2 linked regions of the Rattus norvegicus genome follow. Each later gene encodes a partner of the first gene's protein in a complex. Links are inferred from orthologs where the notes say so. Each region holds a gene or a part of one and is shown in the gene's direction. Other genes may lie near its edges.

What was found. The genes of interacting proteins can lie anywhere in the genome.
Region 2: Eif4a3 (region 1) and Magohb share a complex: the UniProt entries of both Homo sapiens proteins name them as parts of the mRNA splicing-dependent exon junction complex. The link is inferred for Rattus norvegicus from reciprocal best matches to the Homo sapiens genes EIF4A3 and MAGOHB.

The regions. Positions count from the first base shown.
Region 1 is NC_086028.1:105,046,359-105,056,594, reverse strand, and holds the end of Eif4a3 (eukaryotic initiation factor 4A-III), read left to right. Parts: intron 1-868; coding exon 869-941; intron 942-2,303; coding exon 2,304-2,370; intron 2,371-2,851; coding exon 2,852-2,914; intron 2,915-3,652; coding exon 3,653-3,785; intron 3,786-3,968; coding exon 3,969-4,049; intron 4,050-4,582; coding exon 4,583-4,724; intron 4,725-4,962; coding exon 4,963-5,101; intron 5,102-5,503; coding exon 5,504-5,619; intron 5,620-8,408; coding exon 8,409-8,516; intron 8,517-8,596; coding exon 8,597-8,724; intron 8,725-8,817; coding exon 8,818-8,834; 3' UTR 8,835-9,028; downstream 9,029-10,236. UniProt on the Homo sapiens protein: ATP-dependent RNA helicase. Involved in pre-mRNA splicing as component of the spliceosome. Core component of the splicing-dependent multiprotein exon junction complex (EJC) deposited at splice junctions on mRNAs.
Region 2 is NC_086022.1:166,766,166-166,777,176, reverse strand, and holds the start of Magohb (protein mago nashi homolog 2), read left to right. Parts: upstream 1-3,836; coding exon 3,837-3,930; intron 3,931-6,600; exon of another isoform or gene 6,601-6,753; intron 6,754-6,905; coding exon 6,906-6,964; intron 6,965-7,851; coding exon 7,852-7,962; exon of another isoform or gene 7,963-7,973; intron 7,974-10,298; coding exon 10,299-10,381; intron 10,382-11,011. UniProt on the Homo sapiens protein: Required for pre-mRNA splicing as component of the spliceosome. Plays a redundant role with MAGOH in the exon junction complex and in the nonsense-mediated decay (NMD) pathway.

The DNA.
Region 1 (10,236 bases):
TTTGCTTAGGAGCATTTGAGGGAGGCCGAATGAACTCTTTTTGTTTCTGCTTTCTTTGTTGTTTTGCTTTTTGTTTTGTTTTGTTTTGTTTCTCCATGTACCCCTGGCTGTCCTGTAACTCTTAGTAGACCAAACTGGGCCTCTAACTCAGAGATCCCCTGCCTCTGCCTCCCAGATGCTGGGATTAAAGGTGTGCGTCACCAAGATGTTTAACAACATCTTTTCTTATAAATCCTATCTGCTTATTTGGAAAATACTTGTGTTTTCATTGTTTGTTTTGTTTTAAGACACAGTCTCTCTACCTAGTTCTGGCTGGTCTGGAACTCATTCTGTGAACCAGGTGGCCTGGAATTCACAGAGATCCCCCTGCTCAGCTTCTCCTGCTGGGATTAAGGGAGTGCACAGCCTTGTCCAGTCTTTCATACTGTTCTCCTTGCTAGTAGTGATGGCCCAGCAGGTGGGTGGTCCCTTGATGATGGGCCTTCGTGCAAACAGGAGAGCAGCACAGGGCGTCTCCCCATGCCTGTGCAGGCTCAGTACTCGGGAGACACCACCAGCTGGGGTTTGAGTGCTTGGTAGCAGGAAAGGGCAGCAACTGCAGTGCTTCTGGGTTTGTGCTTTTGCTTGTAGAGCGGGTTTGGTGTGGCTTAGACTGGCCTTGAACTCCTGATGCTCCTGCCTCTGCCCTCCAAGTGTTGGTGTAGTGGGTAGCATCTTGACAGGTAGTCCTGTAGGCTGGTCTGTGAAGATGTGCTCAGCTCTGCCTGTGTTGCCTGGGATTGGCAGGAAGGAGCAAGTGTGTGTTCCCCAGGTAGTTCATGCCGTCACAGTCCTGGGGAGTTACAGTGTTTCCTCTTTGCATTTCTAGGTTTTGAAAAACCTTCTGCGATCCAACAGCGTGCTATCAAGCAGATAATTAAAGGGAGAGATGTCATTGCACAGTAAGTTGTGGGCGCTGAGAGCGAGTTGGGTCCTCGGGGAGAGCTGTGGGGAGCTGAGCCTGCCTTATTTATTTATGCCGACTTGTTTTTGGATGTGTATTCTGGGTCCTATGGAGGTCATTGCACACACTACGCTGATGTAGCCCTAGGTCCTGAATGTAGATCTATGGATTTGTGTAAAGTACTTTTTCATTAGCTTTCTTTTCTTTTTCCTTTGAGACAGGGTTTCTCTGTAGACCAGGCTGGCCTCCAACTCAGAATTCTGGCTGCTATTTGGATTAAAGGTGCATGCTAGGTACAGAGCCCAGGGCCTTCTCTACTACTGAACTATAAATGACCAGTTATCCTTTACATCATACTTCAGACTTTAGGAGCTGGTGCATTAAAGGGAGAGGTCCCCTTTCTGCCTCCTTTGGGAAGTTCTTGTTGGCGTTGCAGTTTCTTAGTTCTGGTGTCCTGGTGTAGAAGCCCCACATCCATTCTGTCTGTAGCAGTTTGTCTCTCTGGGAGCTGTGGAGATCGCTCGCTCTGTTCCCAAGTTCAGTTCTTGGTACCCACACTGAGTGGCTCAGAGCTGCCTATAACTGCAGCCTCAGGTCCAGCATCCTCTTCCCGGCTTTGAAAGAAGTTTCACACATGTTCAGTCACACAGATAAGTAAAGGTGAAAAATAAGAATAAGAAGTGACCTTGTACTTTGGTCTCCCACTGTTGGAGTTAAGATGTTTGGGAGAGTGTGAGATTAATTCATGGAGTTTCTATGTCCTCCTTGTTCTCAGATAACTGCTGGTGTTTCTAAGCCTGCTCTAGCCTGGTGTTTTATTAACAAGCCGTAAAGCTTAAGCTGGCCAGGTTCTGAGACTCTCACCTGACTAGGCTGCTGACACCGGACACATGCCCTGTCACCTGCTGTCTGCTCTGGTCCATGTCTCTCCTCATGGTTTCTCTATACCTTCTCCCTGTGGTTTCCTCACTTCCTCCATTCCCCCTCCCCTCCTCTGGTGTCTGGGCACCCCTGCTTCTCTTCTGTTGAGCTAAACAATGAGCTCCTTCCTGAACCAGTCGGGAGGTGACGGAGTTTACAAAGCACTGAGATGGGTGATACTTCATGAACATAAGTCACCAAGCCTGGCCTGCACTCAGCTCTGCCTGCACAGAACCCAGCATCTGACTAATGCTAGGAACCTTTACAGTGCACAAACCCACCCTCCAACAGGGCAGGAGCAGGGGCTCCTAGTAAGAAGCTGCTGCACATGTCTGCAGCCAGGCCTTTGGAGGGAGCACTGCTGTGGGCTGGGGTCCCTAGAACAGGGGCAGTGTCAGATGCTCTTTCTCTGATAACTACCTTGTGCTTTCTTAAACAGGTCTCAGTCTGGCACAGGCAAGACGGCCACCTTCAGTATTTCAGTCCTTCAGTGCTTGGATATCCAGGTGATTTGCCACTCGCAGCAAATGCTCTTTAATGCCAATGCTGTGTGTACTGAGTGCAGGTTTTAGATGGGGTGTGGTTGACCTTCACAGGAGAGCCCTGACTGTCAGCGCTCTTGCTGGCCTTCAAATTTAGTGTCTCCTGAGGCTGGTTAGGAAAGAGCAGCGAGCTAACCCAAGCTAGTGTTTATAGTAGGTCCCAGTGCTTGTTAGCAAGCCGTGCGAGTGACACTGAGACTGATGGCTGACAGGCTCAGGGCAGGAAGCTGGACTTGGACAGATATCAGGTTCCCTCTCATCCAGAATCTAGTTTTTTTTTTTTTTTTTTTTTAATTTTTCAAAGAGGATTTGAAAGTAGAGATGGGACCGTTTGGGAAGAGATAGGGAAGGGGTAAGAGAATGAGAGTGACTGTGGACATGTCATAGGAAAACCTGTCCATTCCTCTGTACAATCTCATGACATTTCTTTTCTCTAACTCACTAGGTTCGAGAAACCCAAGCTTTGATATTGGCTCCAACAAGAGAGTTAGCAGTGCAGATTCAGAAGGTGAGACAGTCGGAGATGGTGTGCCAGGCTGGTGCCGCCCTGTGACAGTGCTGCTGTCCCCACGTGTGAGGCCCATCAATCCCTGAGCAGCAGTAGAGAGTGCCGCTGTGTTTGCACGTGTCGTTGTATGGAAGGGAGGTGATTTCTGTTTTGCTGGGGGTCCACACGGCGATGGAGCGGGTGAAGGTGCTGTGGCTCACACCTGAGTGCACCTCCCAGAATCCTTGTAAAGGTGGAGGGAACGCTGACCCCCGCTGTCCTCCCACCCACACTTTCCTTCTTCGTTTTTGGTTTTGACAACACAAGAAGCAGGAACCGAGCTGTGTGTGCCTGGCAACCTGTTGTCTGACTCGCTGGTGGTTCTTACCTGGTCTCTGCTCTCCTGGTGTAGCCATGGTCCTAGGAATGTGGCACAGCGGTACTTGGCTCTGCCGAAGTACACAAGGCCCTGGTTCCTTCCTCACAGGAAAATGAAGTTCATTTTAATCAAATAATGACTTTCCTTCTAGTCTTGGAGGGATATGTATTGGGATGTTAATACGGTATGATTATCAACTGTGATTTTTCCCACACTTGGTTTGCACCCCTTCAGTATCAGGAAACCCTAAATTGAATTTCCTTTTGACAGAGGAAAGAGCTTAAGTGAGTGAGTGGTAGGTGGTGTCTCCCATTAAAGTAGAGATGACCCTTGAGATGTGTCTGACTGCGGGCCTCTCATGGAAACCTATTTTGCTTCAGGGTCTGCTTGCTTTGGGGGATTACATGAACGTGCAGTGCCATGCCTGCATTGGTGGCACCAATGTCGGGGAGGACATCCGGAAGCTGGACTATGGGCAGCATGTTGTGGCGGGCACACCAGGACGAGTCTTTGGTGAGTGCTTCTCTTGTTGAGACCTGGGCTGTGGGTGGTGTTTATGAGGTGTGCTCAAAGGACGTGGCAGTTCAGTTGTATACACCACATGGTGGGACAGCTTCTGAGGGCTCTGGGGACCAGTGGGAGTGGCTAGCTCTTTCCTTAGACCCACATGTGATTCTTTCAAAATCTAATTGCCAGATATGATCCGCCGTAGAAGTTTAAGGACACGGGCAATCAAGATGTTGGTTTTGGATGAAGCTGATGAAATGTTGAACAAAGGTAAGGGGACCAGAATTTTCTAGTAACATACTGTTAGGTGTGTGTGACAGTCCTTACTTTTTGCAGAAGCAGTGTGTCTTGTGGGTTTTTTTTTTTTTTTAATTATTTATTGGTTTTATGAGTATGAGTACACTGTCGCTGTCTTCAGACACACCAGAAGAGGGCATCAGATCCCATCACAGATGGTTGTGAGCCACCATGTGGTTGCTGGGAATTGAACTCAGGACCTCTGGAAGAGCAGTCGTGCTCTTAACCGCTGAGCCATCTCTCCAGCCCGTCTTGTGGGGTTTTGAACCTGAAACTTTTATTGTAATGTTTTTGTGGTTTTGTTAATGTTTTTGAGACCAGTCCTAGCTGGGGTGACAGTGTCTTCTTATTGTCTGGTTTGGCACTGCACATGGCCTGGGTCAGGGTTCAGGTGTTCACATGCGCACCTGTGAACTCGCTCTGACCACCGACTTCTCTGAAGTCCCTCTGTGTGGCTCTCAGTGACAGCCTGAAAGCCAACGCCGAGCTCACCACATCTGCTGCAGGTTTCAAGGAGCAGATCTATGACGTGTACAGGTACTTGCCACCAGCCACTCAGGTTGTTCTCATCAGCGCCACGCTGCCCCATGAGATCCTGGAGATGACCAACAAGTTCATGACCGACCCCATCCGCATCTTGGTGAAGCGGTAAGGATGCATCCCTTCATTCCCTGGGTGGAAGCCAGGTTTAATGATCTCTACCCTCTTCCATTTCTAAGCCTGAGCTGTGTGCTCCGTGGGGTTCTGTGGTCTGCGGAGGGAGAGGAACCCAAGGGACCGAGAACTGGAAAGGTCTAAAGCCAGCTGGGTAGAGGAGGGCTGGGGGCTCAGCGTGGCCCTGTCCCTCGGATTCTGGGTTGGAGAGTGACGTGAGCTCTGTTCTCAGTGATGAGTTGACTCTGGAAGGCATCAAACAGTTCTTCGTGGCCGTGGAAAGAGAGGAATGGAAGTTCGACACTCTCTGTGATCTCTACGACACGCTGACCATCACCCAGGCTGTCATCTTCTGCAACACCAAGAGGAAGGTGCGCTGCTCTGCACTGTGTCGGTCTTGGGGAGCTGCAGGCTGGGTGTCCTGTCTGTCAGAGGCCCAGGGTGTGGCTTGGGCTTGGGTTCCTGTTAATTCAGCTGTGGCCGGTGCGTTAGATGGAAACGCTGAGATTTGGCAGTGGGGGAACTGCTGGGGCCTCTGAGCAGGGAGGTCACAGAAGGTCTGCGTCTAGGACAGAAGGGGGTTACCGACACGGGTCTTATGTCATCATTTGGATGCCTTTGGTTTAAGCTGGGTTGAAGTGGTGTCTGCTGGCAGAGTCTGCGAGAGTTGGTGGGGGAGTTTCCTCTGCGACTCTGTAAATCTGCTGTTGAGAGCTGCCATTGTACAGGTCTCTGGATGGGTGGATGAGCACCTCTTTTGTTCTGATCTGTAGGTTGACTGGCTGACAGAGAAAATGAGAGAAGCCAATTTCACAGTGTCGTCCATGCACGGAGACATGCCCCAGAAAGAGCGTGAGTCCATCATGAAGGAGTTCCGGTCAGGTGCCAGGTAGGCCTTGCAGCTTTGGCTCCTGTGGGAGGACGGATGGCACTGCCCTCAGGGCCCAGGTGCAGGGGCTGATGCTGCTCTCTGAGAGGACGCTGTCCCGTGCGGGCTGTTGGGTTGGTGGTGAACCGCTGCTAGCATTGGTTTATTGTATTCACGCTAGTTTCTGTTCAACTTCTGGTGATCAGGTATTGGATCGGCAGTCACAGTGCTCAGAGAACAGGCCTCGAGAGTCTGTCTTTGATTCAGGCCTGTTGTGATTCCCTGGGGACACACTTGGCGTGTGTGTGTGTGTGTGTGTGTGTGTGTGTCTGTCTGTCCTTCAACAAGAGATGCCCAGCTAGACTGGAGCTGATAGCCTGTGATAGCCCTCTGCTTGCTGGGATCCCTCCCTCTCATAGTCAGTTCTCTGTGACTGAGTAGGTGAGGCGCCCGTCCTATGTTTCCCTGTGGCTGTAGGGTTGAATGTGCTGTGTAGAGTGTGTGGAGGTCGGGGACCAATGTGGAATGCAGCTCTCTCTTCACCATGTTGGTCCCAGGGATTGAACTTGGGCTGTCAGGCTTGGCATTAAGCTCCCTGACTAAGTAAACGACTGAGCCAGGTCACTGGCCTGTCTTCTGATGCTGGCTGTATCCGTCCTCACCTTGGATATGGGTGTGCAGTTACAGTTTTTCTTTGGAGACTTGAACCTGCCCTTGGTGTCCTGAAGCCTGGCTGACAACTTTTGCCTGTGAGCCTGGGCAGGGCTCATCCTTCTGCTTTTTTTTTTTTTTTTTTTAAATAATGTTTCTCAGAGAAGTCAGAATTGAGTTTGGTTTGTCAGCACTCTGATGATTGTTCTCTCCCTCTCTGGTTTTGGTTTGGTTTGGTGTTAGGGTGCTTGTCTGCTTGGCTTTGTGTTTCCCTGTGTAGCCGTGGCTGTCCTGGAACACCATCCATAGACCAGGCTTGAACTCGGAGATCCACCTGCTCTGCCTCCTGGGTGCTGGCATTAAAGGCTCGAGCTGCCGCCACCACCTGCGTTTCTGTTTGGTTTTAGAGTTTGAGACAGGTGCTCGCTTCGGCAGCACATATACTAAAATTGGAACGATATAGAGTTTGAGACAGGGTTTGTCTGTGCAGTTCAGGGTTTATGATCTCCTGTCTCCACTGGAGTATAGGAGTCACAGAAGTGGACCATTCAGAGCAGTTTATTACATGTATGTACTGATCTTAGAAGTGAATTTTCCCTCTGTTTTTCTTTCCTTTGTTTTTTTGTTTGTTTTTTGTGTGTGGTTTTTCAAGACAGGGTTTCTCTGTGTAACAGACCCCTGACTATCCTGTACTGGATAGTCTGCTGTTTGTAGACTAGGCTGTCCTCAAACTCACAAAGATCTGCCTGCCTCTGTTTCCCGAATGTTGGGATTAAAGACGTGTGCTACCATGTCTGACTTAATTTTTTATTTTTTTAAACTATTTTCCTTCTCTTTAATGTATTTTAAAAATTTTATGTTATTTAGTACCTACCTGGAGATGCTAGCATCTGTTATCAGAGCTACGTTCCTGTCTTTGCAGACGGTACAAGGACCTAGATTTGTTTCATGCCTGTTAAACCATGTGTGCTTTCTCTCTCTCTCTCTCTCTCTCTCTCTCTCTCACACACACACACACACACACACACTTCAGTGCTGGAGATTAACGTATGTTTTAGTTTGCAGTGTCATTGTGCTTTATAGGGTAGGGTTTATTTATTTAGATTTATACATGTTTAACCTGCCTTTCTTCATCTCTGAATCTGAGACATGTTCAAGTTAGTTTGGGTCTGAGGATGAGCGTCCTGCTTCAATCTGTCTGGAAGTGTTTCCTTCACCTCAGAGTGTCAAGGAGAGGTGAAGGGGATGCTGCTACGATGACCCACCATGCCCAGTAGTTACCTTCTGCCTCGATGAGGTGAGGGTCTGCCAGCTGTTGGCCCCTCATTCTGAGGCCTCAGTTCCCAATCCAGTTGCTCTTTTAAGCAGCTCCTGCCTGTAGGCTTCTCTGCTTTTCTTCTGGTTTTGGTTTCAGCAGTTGGTCTCGGCTGACTCTAGGTGAAACCTTTTGTGTCCTTTTGCCATCTGTGACCATTTGGAGCCCTGACCTGCTTGTCTCACACTGCTCTGGCCTTTTCCCTTCCTCCTGGGTCGGTTGCGATGCTACACAAAGTCAGGGAAGTAGGTGCTCACGCATGCGTACCTCTGGAGACTTCTGGGATTCTCCTTCCCCTAACTTGCAGTGGAAACAGGAGTCCAGCTCCTTTCTAGTAACCGTGGCAGTAGGGGAAGCAAGCAGGTGGTTTCTAGCTCACTGTCAGTGTGACACCATTTCAGGAGTGTAACCGTCTTGTGTTCTTACACTGCTTTCTAGCCCCGTATCCTTGCACACCTAGCGTGTCTGTTAGGACCAGGCATGTTTCAGATGGGTGGCATCATCATGACTGTGTCCTCTGTGGCAGTTGACACCACTTGCTCAGAGCATCTGCTATAGTGTGGGAGGGGTATGGGTTGAAATGGGGTCATCAGTAGTAGGCTCCTGTTCTTAATGGGGTTTTTGCTAAGCAGACGTCGTGTTTTCCTGGAGGTACTGTCTTTAAACAAATGAACTCTAAAAGACCCTCAGCTGTGGTCTTGTCAGCCCACGTCTGATTGCAGCAGGTTTTCCAGTGGCCTGCAGGTGACGTGAGCACTGGTGTGCTGCTCACACTGCAGAGGCCGCTCTGCTCACACTGCAGAGGCCGCTCTGCTCCCTCTCACCTTTGCCTTTTATTCTGCAGCCGAGTGCTCATCTCCACAGATGTCTGGGCGCGGGGCCTCGATGTCCCTCAGGTGTCCCTCATCATTAACTATGACCTGCCCAACAACAGAGAACTGTACATTCACAGGTGTGTGCTTCCTTCCCTTGCTCACACCCTGGACCCTCGTGTGTGTGACTGCTTACTAACACCTATATTTTAATCAAAAGAATCGGGAGATCAGGTCGATATGGACGCAAAGGTGTGGCCATCAATTTTGTGAAGAATGATGACATCCGCATCCTCAGGGACATTGAGCAGTACTACTCCACCCAGATAGATGAGATGCCTATGAATGGCAAGTTGTTGGCTGTACTGGTGGCTGTGGGTGGGGCTCCCTTACTAGGGTTAGGGAGGTGACATATTAACAAGTGTCTGTCTTCCCCTTCAGTGGCTGACCTCATCTGAAGCTGGTGCTGGTACACCAAGGGCCTGTTTGGAGCTCCTCTTTGGACATGGAAGCTTCTATTTAATGGGGTTTATATGAACTGTCTTCTCATAGCCCTCAGGAGGACCCTCGGCCTCTGCCATCTTTTCTAATGCACGTGTAAATAATCCAATGCGCTAAATCTTTTACATTAAACATGGAAATTTTCCCACGACTTAGAGTGCAGAGTTCTTGTGTCACCAGCTTTCCTGGTCTGGTCATGAACAGACCACTTCTTTCCCTACCTTCACATGTGCAGGATCTAGTTTAAGACGTGAAACAGCCCGGCAACAGAGTCCATAGAAGAAGTCAGGAGAAAGTAGTGACTACAGGCTGGGCAAAGGTCTCGACTTGAAGATGGTGGAGAAGGAGCTTGGATGCGGACTGCATCCACAGAGGACAGAGTAGCAAAGGGAAGCACAAACTGGGAGTGGGGAGGTGCATGTGACAGGGCCATGGAGTTTATGAGTTACCTGGTGAACCTGATCCTGCAATGGCACTCAGCCAAGCCTTGGGGATGGAGAGGTCACCCTGGAGTTTATGCACTCACATCCGGTGAGGGTTGGAGCTTTGGCTGCATGAGATTAGGGGACGGTACCAGGTAAGACATGCTGAGGAGACCAGGCTGAGGAGAGGGAGGAAGACCTGGAGGAGCCTTGAAGATGAGGGTTGACCTCAGTCAGCAGGGGACAACACTTAAACCATAGCTGATTCTGCCAACAGCCCGTGAGCAGAACAGACAACAGCCTCTAACACCCTGACTTCAGCCAAGTTTGTGTTTTGGACCCGTAGAACTGTGGCAGAGTTCATCTGTGTGATTTAAAGCCACTAATGCTGTCGTAATGAGTTGTGCCACTGATAGTAAGTCAGCATTGTATAAAAACAGCTCAGCCAGTTGTAGTTTCCTCTTAGGTGTCTGTCATTGCTGCGTAACTTGGGGAGACCCTATAAACCTTGTGTTTAAGGAGCTTCTGGAACCTTAATGAGCCTCCCTCTCAGAAGTGTCAGAATGAGAAAAATGGGAAACCGGCAGAACAGTCAAGAACAGTCATCGATGACATGGATGAGTCAGTTGCTAACTGACACACAGATGGACCCTGTCATTCTAGAAGGTGTGAACTGAACAACAACAGCCTTTGACTGGTTTCTCTGACAGGTTAAAGTGGCTGTGTATTTCTCCTGTCCCAAACTTGATCTGACCCTCTAGCTAGGAAAAGGGACACTGATACTAAGTCATGTAACAGCTGGGAGGGGACAGGACTGTGCAAAGGCCCCTTGCTGCCTTCAGCCACCGTAAGGGACAGGTGCTGAAGTCCTAGGCTTTGGACATCTCTACTTCAGATGGGGTGCTAAAGCTACCTCAGGCATGTGCCTTGTCTCACA
Region 2 (11,011 bases), on another chromosome or scaffold:
TGCACCATGGGAATTTATCAGAAAAGCATTAACATGCTTTTCAAATAAAGTGGCAAAAGACATGGCTGAAATCCATAAAGGAATCTAAGAGGGAATAAAAAGGAAAGGCAAGCAGATGGAAATGGATGGGAATAGATCACTACACTTTGGCTTTTCCTTCTTAAAATGTGCCAATGTTAGGATGGTCTATTAGACTACATACTAGTATTGCTACATAGATTCATTTCACTAAAAGAGACAGTTCTGACATTTTGCTCTGTAAGTATATAAAACCAACAAAAATTACAGACAGAAAATGAATATATAAGTTTATTACCTGTTGTGTTTACTAGGACATGGTTAGAGAGCATTTCTGAATATTGGAAGAGGGAATGATTTGATCACTTTAAATAGACAAGATAAAAGGACAGATAAGAAGAATTCAAAAGGAGAGAATTCTATAACTAGGGAAAAAAACCCAGCAGAGCAATTAAAATATTAATGACTCTAAGGAAGAGCCAAATCTAAGAAGGGGAGTGTGGTGGTGCACAGTTGTAGTGCCAGCACGTTCGATGTGAGCGCAAGAAGGTCGTGGATTTAAGGCCAGCTTGGCTACATGAGAAAGCAAAACACAACCGGAAATGAAAGAAACTGACACATCACCATACAACTGGAAAAATAAAACACTTGTGTGGAAAAATTATCAACGAATATTGCGCATTAAACCATCAAGCCTCAATTTCTATCACAGTCGGGAAGGTTTGTTTCCTACCTACGTCAAAATAATTTCACAAGGTGCTGTGAAGTTGACCACAGTGTGGGCAAAAGCAGAAACAGTCCTTTGGTTTCACATGAGTAATGTAAAAACATTTATTTTCAAAGGTAAACTCTGACCAATTGCACCCTAATTTGGCAACTATAGTAATGGAAAAAGGAAAATGTGCACAGTATATTTTCACTACTTCGCTTTGATTACAGAGAGCTGAAACTCTTATACAGTTGTGCTAACCAACATGAGAAACACTAGCCACATGTGATATTTAAATGTTTACTTAAGTTAACAAAAATTAAGAATTCCCCAAAATTAAGTTTCCCCAGTCCCGCTACATTTAGTCCCACTACATTATTAGCTACATTTAAGAGCTTAATAACAAAACACTTGCCCACATGTATCTGGTGTTTACCATCTCAAAAGGTCCAATTTTGGTACAATCTTGACTATAATATGAAAGTTCAGGTAAATACAGTTCTCTTTTTTATTTTAAAAAAAAAAGACATAAGTTCCAGAGGACATGTCTGAACTCATAGGTCATGATAGAGGACCAAGAACATAATGGGCCAACTTAGGAAAGTCTTAATATTGTGTGTATTCCACACTGCGTGTAAGTACACTTAAATCCTGACATCTATAGTTCTATTTAGATAGATAGGAGGATGAACGCGGTACATGTGTGAAAAATTTGAAGGAAATGCACAGAGAACCAAAGGCCATGGAACACTCCTTTTTGTATAATTCGGTGAAAGGGGTTTTAGCTGATATTTTCACAGATGCTATGCAACACTTTGCTCAAGTTTCTGTGAATTATTCTTGTAATAAGTCAGGGGCTTCTAGGTTTTAAAACTGGAAGTTTCCCATCCGAAAAAACTCCTCAAACCTGGGCAAATTGGAAGGGTTGGGTATCCTTCTGGTATGTTGTCGTGATTCAGGTTTCTAATGTGTTTTCCTAAGTAGCAGCCTATCACCCTGCTACAGGAGTAAATTTAACAATTACATAAAGGAAAGAGAACCTGCTCCAACGTGCCTTGACAGTTACTCCACTTTCCCAAACCCTGTATAATTATTGATTTCAGGTGCAGATATTGTGAGTTTTTTTTTAATGTTTATTTTTGCTTTCTCCAAATACAAACATTCATACCACTCTGCTTTCCTTTGTGGCATCCTTTGTCTGAAATGCTTGTCTATACTGCTAGACAGTCACAGAATGCACTTATCAAAAAAGTCAACTCAAATAGCAATTTTTATGTCCTCTTTAATCCCCCCCCTTGCTTATAATCTTCTAACTCCACCCCCAGTAAAACTACTTGCCATTTTCATACAGAGCTGGGCCATTGCATATATTCTTTTTACTGATTGCTTCCCTTTGCTGTCCTTTGCCTCACATGTTTGCTTTCCTTTTATTCCGAAGGTGTAAATGTCGTGATTGCTTTATTACTAATTTCCATCTGCTCTGGCACATAGGAAAGGCTCGTTAAAACCCATGTCGCCTAGATTTCAAAGCATATCACACACATGTTATTTGATCTTCTGAGTTCTGTGTTTGGCGGTTGGTCGCTTGTGTCTAGTTAGTTAATGATCAAACAGGTTCAGAGATAATGACTTGTCCAAGGTTTGGTGGGAACAGTACTGAGACTGAACTCCTTTTCTTAGGATTAGTACAGAAGGCCATCAGTCACCAATAGGATTACTCAGTGGTGCTAACAGAAAGGTAACCAGGACTTTAAGAGTGGACACTGGGTGCAAGTTCACTGTCATTTTTGTGCTCTCCAAGACCATTCCACACTGGAATGTTCCGTACTTCTCCAACTTAAACTATCCCTGCAAATACCTAGGGTACAAACTATTAATCCTTACCGATTCACAAGTTGTATTACACTATGAAAAACTCTTATAACTGTCTGGACTCTTCAGTTTCATGTGCTATTTGAACATCAACCCCCCACCAGAGAGATACATTTTACTTTGTGTCTTAGTCAAGGCTGTTAGCCACTGGATACTGTGAAGCATTATCCAAAGAGACTCTGGTAGATTGTGATCCAGTTGCCACTGAAATGTATCTTTACTCACTTCACCAGTTACAGGAAGTGGAGCCACACCCAACTTTACAATGTGCTTGGAGATCAGAGATACCCACCCTAAGTACAGCTTGTAAACCTTAGTTCAAAACTCAGAAAAATACACACCCATACCATAGGGCAACCAGAAAGTAAAAATGGTTTGCATATGTTCCTCCCAAGCCCATTTAAATAACTAGAAGCAAACAAAGAAAACCCCAAGCTATTTGTTCTTTTCTAAAATACTGTGAAATATGCAGGAAAATGGACAAATCTGTCAATTATTATAGTTAAGTGAGGTAACCGTGAAGTATTAATGCAAATCTTGTATAGGGATCTTAGCTTTTGTATGCGTGTATTTATGTGCTTGTGAGTATAGGTTATTAAACCTGAGAGGATACTGCGGGTTGGTTAAAGAAATGGAGTGGGAAGAGTAACAGGATGCATTTAACAAGAAAGTGCAGCGGGAATAACTGGGACAGAAGAATTGGAGACAGTATATGAGGGAGAGGTGTATGGAGTGAGGTTCAATCAAAACAATATACAATGCCACAATGAAATCTGCGACTTTGTACCAACCATCGCGCTCATGCAAGCAATCTTTATAAAACTCGGTGATTCTCCCCTCAACACAGACATACAGGAGATGTAAAAGCACAGGAGGGCTTATTGGTAAAAGCGGTTCTGCAGGAGAAGGGATGGTGGAAGGTAACGTGGTGGGGGCGACTAAAATTCATCATATACGTGTATAAAACCGTCAGAGTTAAAAAATAAATATCGAAGCATATAAAAAATCTTAAAAAAAAAAAAAAAGAAAACAAAGCGCTTGAGATTGTGGTGAAGCGGCTCCAGCGCAAACCTTCAGAACTGAGGGTCTCTCGCTTTGTCTTCAGTTCTCCCGGCTTTCGTTCCCTACCGGAGTAAGCGCGCCCTCGTTGACGCTCTTTGCCCGCGCCTGCGACGTCACTACTCCGCGCCGGCGGCACGTTGGACCGGCGGTATACCGGGCTTTACCGAGGGCAAAAATGGCTTTGGCTAGTGATTTCTACCTGCGGTACTACGTCGGGCACAAGGGCAAGTTTGGGCACGAGTTTCTGGAGTTCGAGTTTCGGCCGGACGGTGAGCGGCGGAGAGGCTGCGAGGGAGGGCGAGCCGCCCAGGGAATGGGTTTCTGTTTTTTTTTTTTTTTTTCCCTTTCTTATTTCAATGTACTTGTTAGTTTTGAGTCAGGGTCTTGTGTAGTGCAGGCTGACCTCGAACTCACGATTCTCTTGCTTCAGCCTTCGGGATAGTGGGATGGCAGGCATGTTACAACGCTCCAGACTCCAGAAGAACCGGTTTGGAGGGTTTCATACCAATGTTGGAAGAGTTTGCTTGTGTAGCACGCCTGCGCAGTGCTTGTAAGAGAAAAAAAAATGCTGTAAAGTAATTCAGAAAAGCGGATCTTGCCACTGTCAGAAAAATTGAACACACAGGAATCGGAAACTTAAGAGCAGAGAACCTGTGCTTCGGGAGTGTTAACAGAATTATCAAAAGACACATACTCTAGCGGATGCTTGTAATCTTTAGGTGGCCTTTTTGGCCTACTCATTCATTCACTATCTGTGTTAAGACTGCTTTGTAGGGGAGGAACCCCGTGTCTGAACACGGGAGTGTGATATGTGTCAGGTTTGAAAGACAATTCTTCACCAGTGGATGATGGACAAAGGTAAGGGAGTCAATGAATGCTCCCAGAAGCTCTTTTTGTGCTGCCTTCTAGATAGTTGGTCAGCTCTGTGTAGATGAGTCTGAATATCTCCTTCCTAGCCACCAGCTGTCAGAACACTTTCAGGTGGACAGTGAATACAAACTTTGTACTTTCTCGGAGAAGCAAATGGCCACAGAGGTAGCTACTGATGCTCTGGGTGAAGAGTGGATGGATGGGTTGTGTGGTCCCAATCACAAAAAGGACTGAGAATGACAAACGGTTTTACCATGAAGCAAGGCTTCTTGACCCAGTGCAGAGTACACCGGTTATTGTTAAAAAACAAAAATGATATTGCTGAACTGAGCCCCTGTCCCTCTGTACTTGGGTCTCAAAGAGCTAGCAGAATCCTAAAGTGTTTCAGTGTCTCTAAAGAAGATGATGTCTGCTCGTGCACCGTTGAAAAGCCCTTGAACAAAGACTGTAAGAAATCCAGGAAGAAAGCACGCAAGACCCAAACATCTAGTTACTTCATATGTCCTGGAACACCACCAACTCCAGTGTATTGTTCTGAAGAAACAATGCACTAAGAAAAATAAAGTAGCTACAGAATGAGCTAAACTTTTGACCTAGAGAATGAAGCTAGAGAAAAATACTTGGAACAGATTTCTAAGAGACGTAGGCTGTCCTCAATGGGAGCTTCTAATTTTGAGTATTAGTCCAGTAAACAATAAGTGTTTAAGAGTAAGAAATAAATGATCAGACCTTGAAAAACAAAAACAAACAAACAAACAAACAAAAAAAACCAACCAAACAACAACAACAAAAAAGGCTTTGCCTGAGTCTTTAATCCTAGCATTCTGGAGGCAGAGTCAGGCAGATGGAGTTTCAGAAAAGCCAGAGCTACACAGAGAAACCCTGTCCCCCGAACACAAAGATTCCCCCTACAAAAAAGAACCTTCCTCTAGAAGATGAGATACTTGATTGAGATAAAAACAATGAACCTTCTTGGTTTCTGGATGAGAGAAAACCCAGAAGAGAACAGAATTAGCAGGGATTTGTTGAAGCCCCTGTGTAGTGTAAGGCAATTCTTACCTGTACCAAGAATTTTTATTTGTGAATGTTCATTGTGTAGTCGGCAGTATATAAATGTCAAAGCCGAAGGTAGTTGGGAGATAAACATTTAACCTACGATAGGATAGTATGGATTTTATTTAAGTGCTTTGTGCAAGTTTTGCACAAGGTTCTTTGAAACGTAAGGAAAGGATCATGTATTCCAAAGGTTTGGAGCGTTTAGGAAGAAGTCAGCATAGCAGTCAGTGTCCTGCCGTTATTTTGAAACTTAATAACTTCAACCTTGTTTTCCAAATTTTGATGTCGTGGCCTGGTCTTTTACTCTTTTATTTTCTCTGCTTTTTTTTACTTATTCCTCTTGTAATTCAGTTCTTGTTCCTCTTGCCTGTGAACAACACCAGCTTGTCCTTATCGCCCTGAGTCACATGAATTAAGAACCCCACGGTATCAGGGGAATCTTAAGTAGAGGTCGGTCCTCATGCATCTCTGCCACCGCATTGCTCGACTCACATGCAAAATCATGAACCACAGAATCTGTCAGTTTGGCAGATGAGAAAGACATTGCAGCTGTATCAGGGCACCTGACTGACAGGGAAGCACACACCAGGGGCTTCAGAGCTTGTGAGGAATGGGTTGAATAAGTCAGCGAACAGGCTTGGCAGTTCATGTCGTTTGCATGCTTCCTAGTTAAAAAAAAATCATTATCTTATCCATATACACTAACATGAAGGGAAAGAATTGAGAGATCATTTTTGGAACTATAGAGAAAGAGTTGATCAAAAACAGACCTTTTGAGACTGTGTGACGCTGCGTAAGTTGCTTGCCTTGATTTTATCTCCTGTGAAGAGGTGAGAAAGTGAAACCCATTCTTAGAATTCCTTTAGAGACCAGGTGAAATATTGTGAGAACAGCACTAGGTACTCACATGACACTAAAGAGAATACTTAGTAGTTAGACACAGTCACTTTGTGCTCAGGGCTAGGTAAGAAAATAAACTGTTTACTGTGCACAACTTTAATCCCCAAACATAGGCAACGAGGCAGACGGATAGATCCCTGTTTGTTCAAGGCTGCCAACCTCGTTACACATTGAGATCTTGTCTCAAAGAAAGGAAGGAAGGAAAGAAGGAAGGAAGGAAGGAAAGCAAACAGACCTTAACAAACCTGACCCATTTTATGTTGAAGGTATGGATTATTTTAAAAATTACTAGCCTGCTTTTAATTGAGTATTTAGCATTGATCTTGCATGAGGAAAGTAGATATACTAATAAAAGTGGGATTATGGAATTATCTTTACCTTTAAAATTACTCATGATGTTCTCTTTCTCTCCACACAGGGAAGCTTAGATATGCCAACAACAGCAATTATAAAAATGATGTGATGATCAGAAAAGAGGCAAGTTCTATTTTCTCTCTCTCTCTCTCTCTCTCTCTTTTCTCTCTCTCTCTCTTTCTCTCTCTCTCTCCCTTTCTTTTGAGACAGCGTCTCACTTTGTAGCCCTGGCTGTCGGGGAACTCAGTGTAAGCCAACTAGACTGACTTTGAACTCAGAGATCCACCTGCCTCTGGCTAACTTCTGTTTACATGTTTATTTTTTTATATCTTGTTCATTTATCCTGAAGTTATTTCAGAGGTCTGTTTCAAGAAACCAATTTATAGATTGAAATGTTTTTATTTTAATTACATATGATTATAGCATTTTTTTAAAAAATTTTTTATTGTGTTTGTATGCAGCTGGTAGAAATTGGTTTTCTCTTACTATATGGGTTCTAGTGATAGAACACAGGACTTTTTCCTCGGCTGCCTTTACCCACTAAGTCATCTTGGTGGTTTTCATTTTAGTGTTTTTTTTTTTTAACAAAAGAATCACCCTTAATACTTATAACCCCATATCATTTAATTCATTTTATGAAGTGTAAATTTTAAATGAAAGGCGTGGAAGTCAGGCTGGCCTTTGAGTGCCAGCTCACGTGTGAGAGCATTGTGCTCTTACTCTATGGCCCTAATACTGGCCCAGTAACTGTAAGCTGCCTGGGTGCCCCTGCTTCCCCAGAAGAATATGGAGCCTCAAAGAAGCTAGAGTGGGAAGACGGCACAGTGTGTTGTAAAGAGCACGGTGTAGAAAAAGTAGCAGTAGTGAGAAGGACGATTTGGGATCAAATTCAGTTGTTCACGCCTATTGTGTTTGGACATTTAGTTAGGACTTGCTTTTATTTTGTCATGCTGAACTGTGGGACATTCAAACAGATGGGCATTTACAGATTTTATTGAACTGATTTTCAGGCTTATGTCCACAAGAGTGTAATGGAAGAACTGAAAAGGATCATTGACGACAGTGAAATTACAAAGGAGGACGACGCTCTGTGGCCGCCTCCTGACAGGGTTGGCCGGCAGGTCTGTGCCTTGTGAGTTTTTAAGTGGATAGAGTCAAAGTTGGTAATATACTTAGTGTGTTTTTAGGATTTTTTTTTTTAATTGAAACTTTGATTATATAACTTTACTTTCTCTGTAAACTTTTTAATTTTGGTATTGGAGATTGAAGTCAAGGTTTGTACATTCCCAGCAAGCAAATGCTTCTGAGTTACACCTCACAGCCCTTACTTGGCTCCATTTTCCTTGCTAGCTCCACTTACTAAAGGTATTAGCACATAGCTCTAAAGTTAGGCAGTAACATCTTTTCTCTAACTTGTACAGCTCAAGCTTGGACATTTTGACACTTATGAGTTATTTATTATAAATTAGCTATTATTATTAGTTATTTCTGCTATAAATATGTATACACCATCATTGCTAGCTAAATTTGAGAGTTATGGTTATTCTCATTGAATGTAGCAGTTCACTTTCTCCAATTTCTTGTCTTAACATTCATATATCTGAGAGCCGCAGAGAGAGACCCGATGGATTTCTTTGCTCAAGTGGACCATTGTGTTTGCTTCTTAGACCCCCCTCAGAATAATCGATGTTTCCAAAGTGCTCCCAAAGAACTCGGCAGGCCCAATTTCACTCTGTATAGACAGTTTGGTTTCTAAATTGGGACTTTTCAACTCTTAGAGAAATGAGATACAAGGTCGAAAGAACTAAGCATCTAATGTCACTTTTGTGTGTTCTGAGGACTATACATATGGCGGGCACTCTTTTTGACGAGAAGAAAGATCTGTAGAGAAGCCTGGCACATGTTGAAAGGAGCAGTGGTGGAACTGTTCTGTGGCAGGAACTCCATGCAGAGCGTCGTATCAGGAAGCAGAGGCGGTGGTCTGTGTCCTGCGGGAACCCGAGTTACAGGGCCACTGCATAGGAGTAACTGGGCATCTGTGTCCACAGAGAACAGCAGGGCATTTTAAAACTATTAAACTTGTTTCTACAGGGAGGATGTGATATGCAGATTTGTCTGTGTTAATAAGGCGATATACTCTTTCAGAGGGTAGATTTGTAATATACATGAGAAAATGTTGCTATTTTTCATTTATCTCTGCCTTAGTAACATTTCTGAACATCAATTTTAGAAAAATAAATTCAGAGACAGAGGACGTTGAGTATGTATAAAAATGTTTTCATCTGGGGAGAGCCAGTGCTCATTCCTGTGTAGTAGCTTTGCGTTCTCTGTGAGGGAGTAGTCTGCGTGCTCCAGACACTGCTGCCGGATAGTTAAACCAAGCCTGCTGTGATTAGCAGAGAATCTTAGCTAATCCTCAGGTGGCTGTGTCTCATGAAGTGCACAGTTAGGCCTTTTGATTAAATAGCTGGGACTGTCTTTAATAGCATCTGGTTGATAATTTAGTGTAAAAATGCACTAATATGCAGCTCCTTCACTAGCTTTAGATTTCTGGATAAGTAGTACAGATAAAATTTGTATGATGATAATCATCCTGGAGTAACTAGATTATATTGATTATGTTGCATTGTTATGTAAGTTCTAGTTTTCATTCTGTTTCAGAGGGGATTAGGCTCTAAGTAGCCACATTACTCTATGGAGAGCCAGTGTTACTTGTGGTTATTGATATCTTTGTGTGTTCTGTGCTTTGTGAGTTTAGGATTGAACATTTGTGATAGAAGGCTAGTAAAGACTATAACGTTGTAAAGGTGTTTTAGGGACTGCAGAGAATACTCGTAATCTCCTAGCAGTCAGGCCCGATGCATGGCAGACTCTAAAGCTTTAGCTTCTGTTAGTGTCGTATATCTGCAGAAACTTACATAAAGAGAAAATACATTTGTGATATTTTAAATGGATTTGTATTAATAATCATTTCTAAACTGTGCTTTAATGTGCCAGCTCTCATGTTCACCAGCATCACAAGAAACATTTCAGTGTTGTTTTGTTTGAGCCCCTTTTTTTATGACTGCTCTGGAAAGCAGTTCTGGGTTGGTCCAGAAACTAAGTCTATTGGTCATGAACAGTCAGTGAGGTTACATTAAGAGAATTCTGTTAGCAAAGTAAATTTCTTTTGGTTTTTTGATAGAGTTTTTCTGTGTAGCCCTGACCAGTCTGGAACTTTCTCTGTAAAGCAGGCTGGCTTTAGACTTAAGCAATTCTCCTGCCTTACTTCTGGAGTGCTGAGGTTATAAACATGTGTCACCAGGCTTGCCTAAGATTAAATTTCTTTCCCTGTCATTAAGTTCTGGAAAGTTTGTACTTCTTGTAGCATGAATACAGATGTCTTTGGGGTGGACTTTTTTTTTTTTTTTTTTTTTTTTTTTTTATTGATGCCATTTCTCTACTGTTTTGTTTCCAGGAACTTGAAATCGTAATCGGGGATGAACACATTTCTTTTACCACATCAAAAATAGGTTCTCTCATTGATGTAAATCAGTCAAAGTAAGTATATTACAGTTTAGCTGATCTCATTACTGAAGCTCATGTCAGAGCTGCTGGCTGTTGGCCACGGCAGTTTAGTGTTCAGACTTTTAAGTAATTAAACACTTGTTTTCTTGTCTGTCAGAGAAGTTAGCAGAGTATTTCACTGTCTAAAGTCCTTAGTTCAGCAGTGTGCATAGCAATCCTCACTTTCGTTGGTCGTTTTGATTAAAAAGCCTTGGTCTAATGTCAGAAAACAGAAGGGAACTGTTTGGATTCGTCAGCTCCATTGGGCCCATGCTACATCGCACTGAAAAGAACGTAGGCATGTGTGAGCCTCCTTTGCGTTCTTAGCTTCTTTGCAGCACCACTGAAGCTTTGCTGGACTGAATCACTGAGTCGCTTCTTCATGCTCCTTTCCCTCAAAATGTCCCCATAATGCTTCCATTACTCCTTGCTGCCCTAAATCAGAACTTGCTTAAGTATACACTGCATGGGAACTGGGCTGTCTTCAGAGTAATCATAGTGCCCGGGACATAGTATGTGCCTCAAATAAGTAATAAAGAAGGGCAAAGGAATGGATGCATGACAATTACAAAGAACAGCCAACGTTTTAACCTATAAATGTATTCTCACAGTTCCTCTGTATAT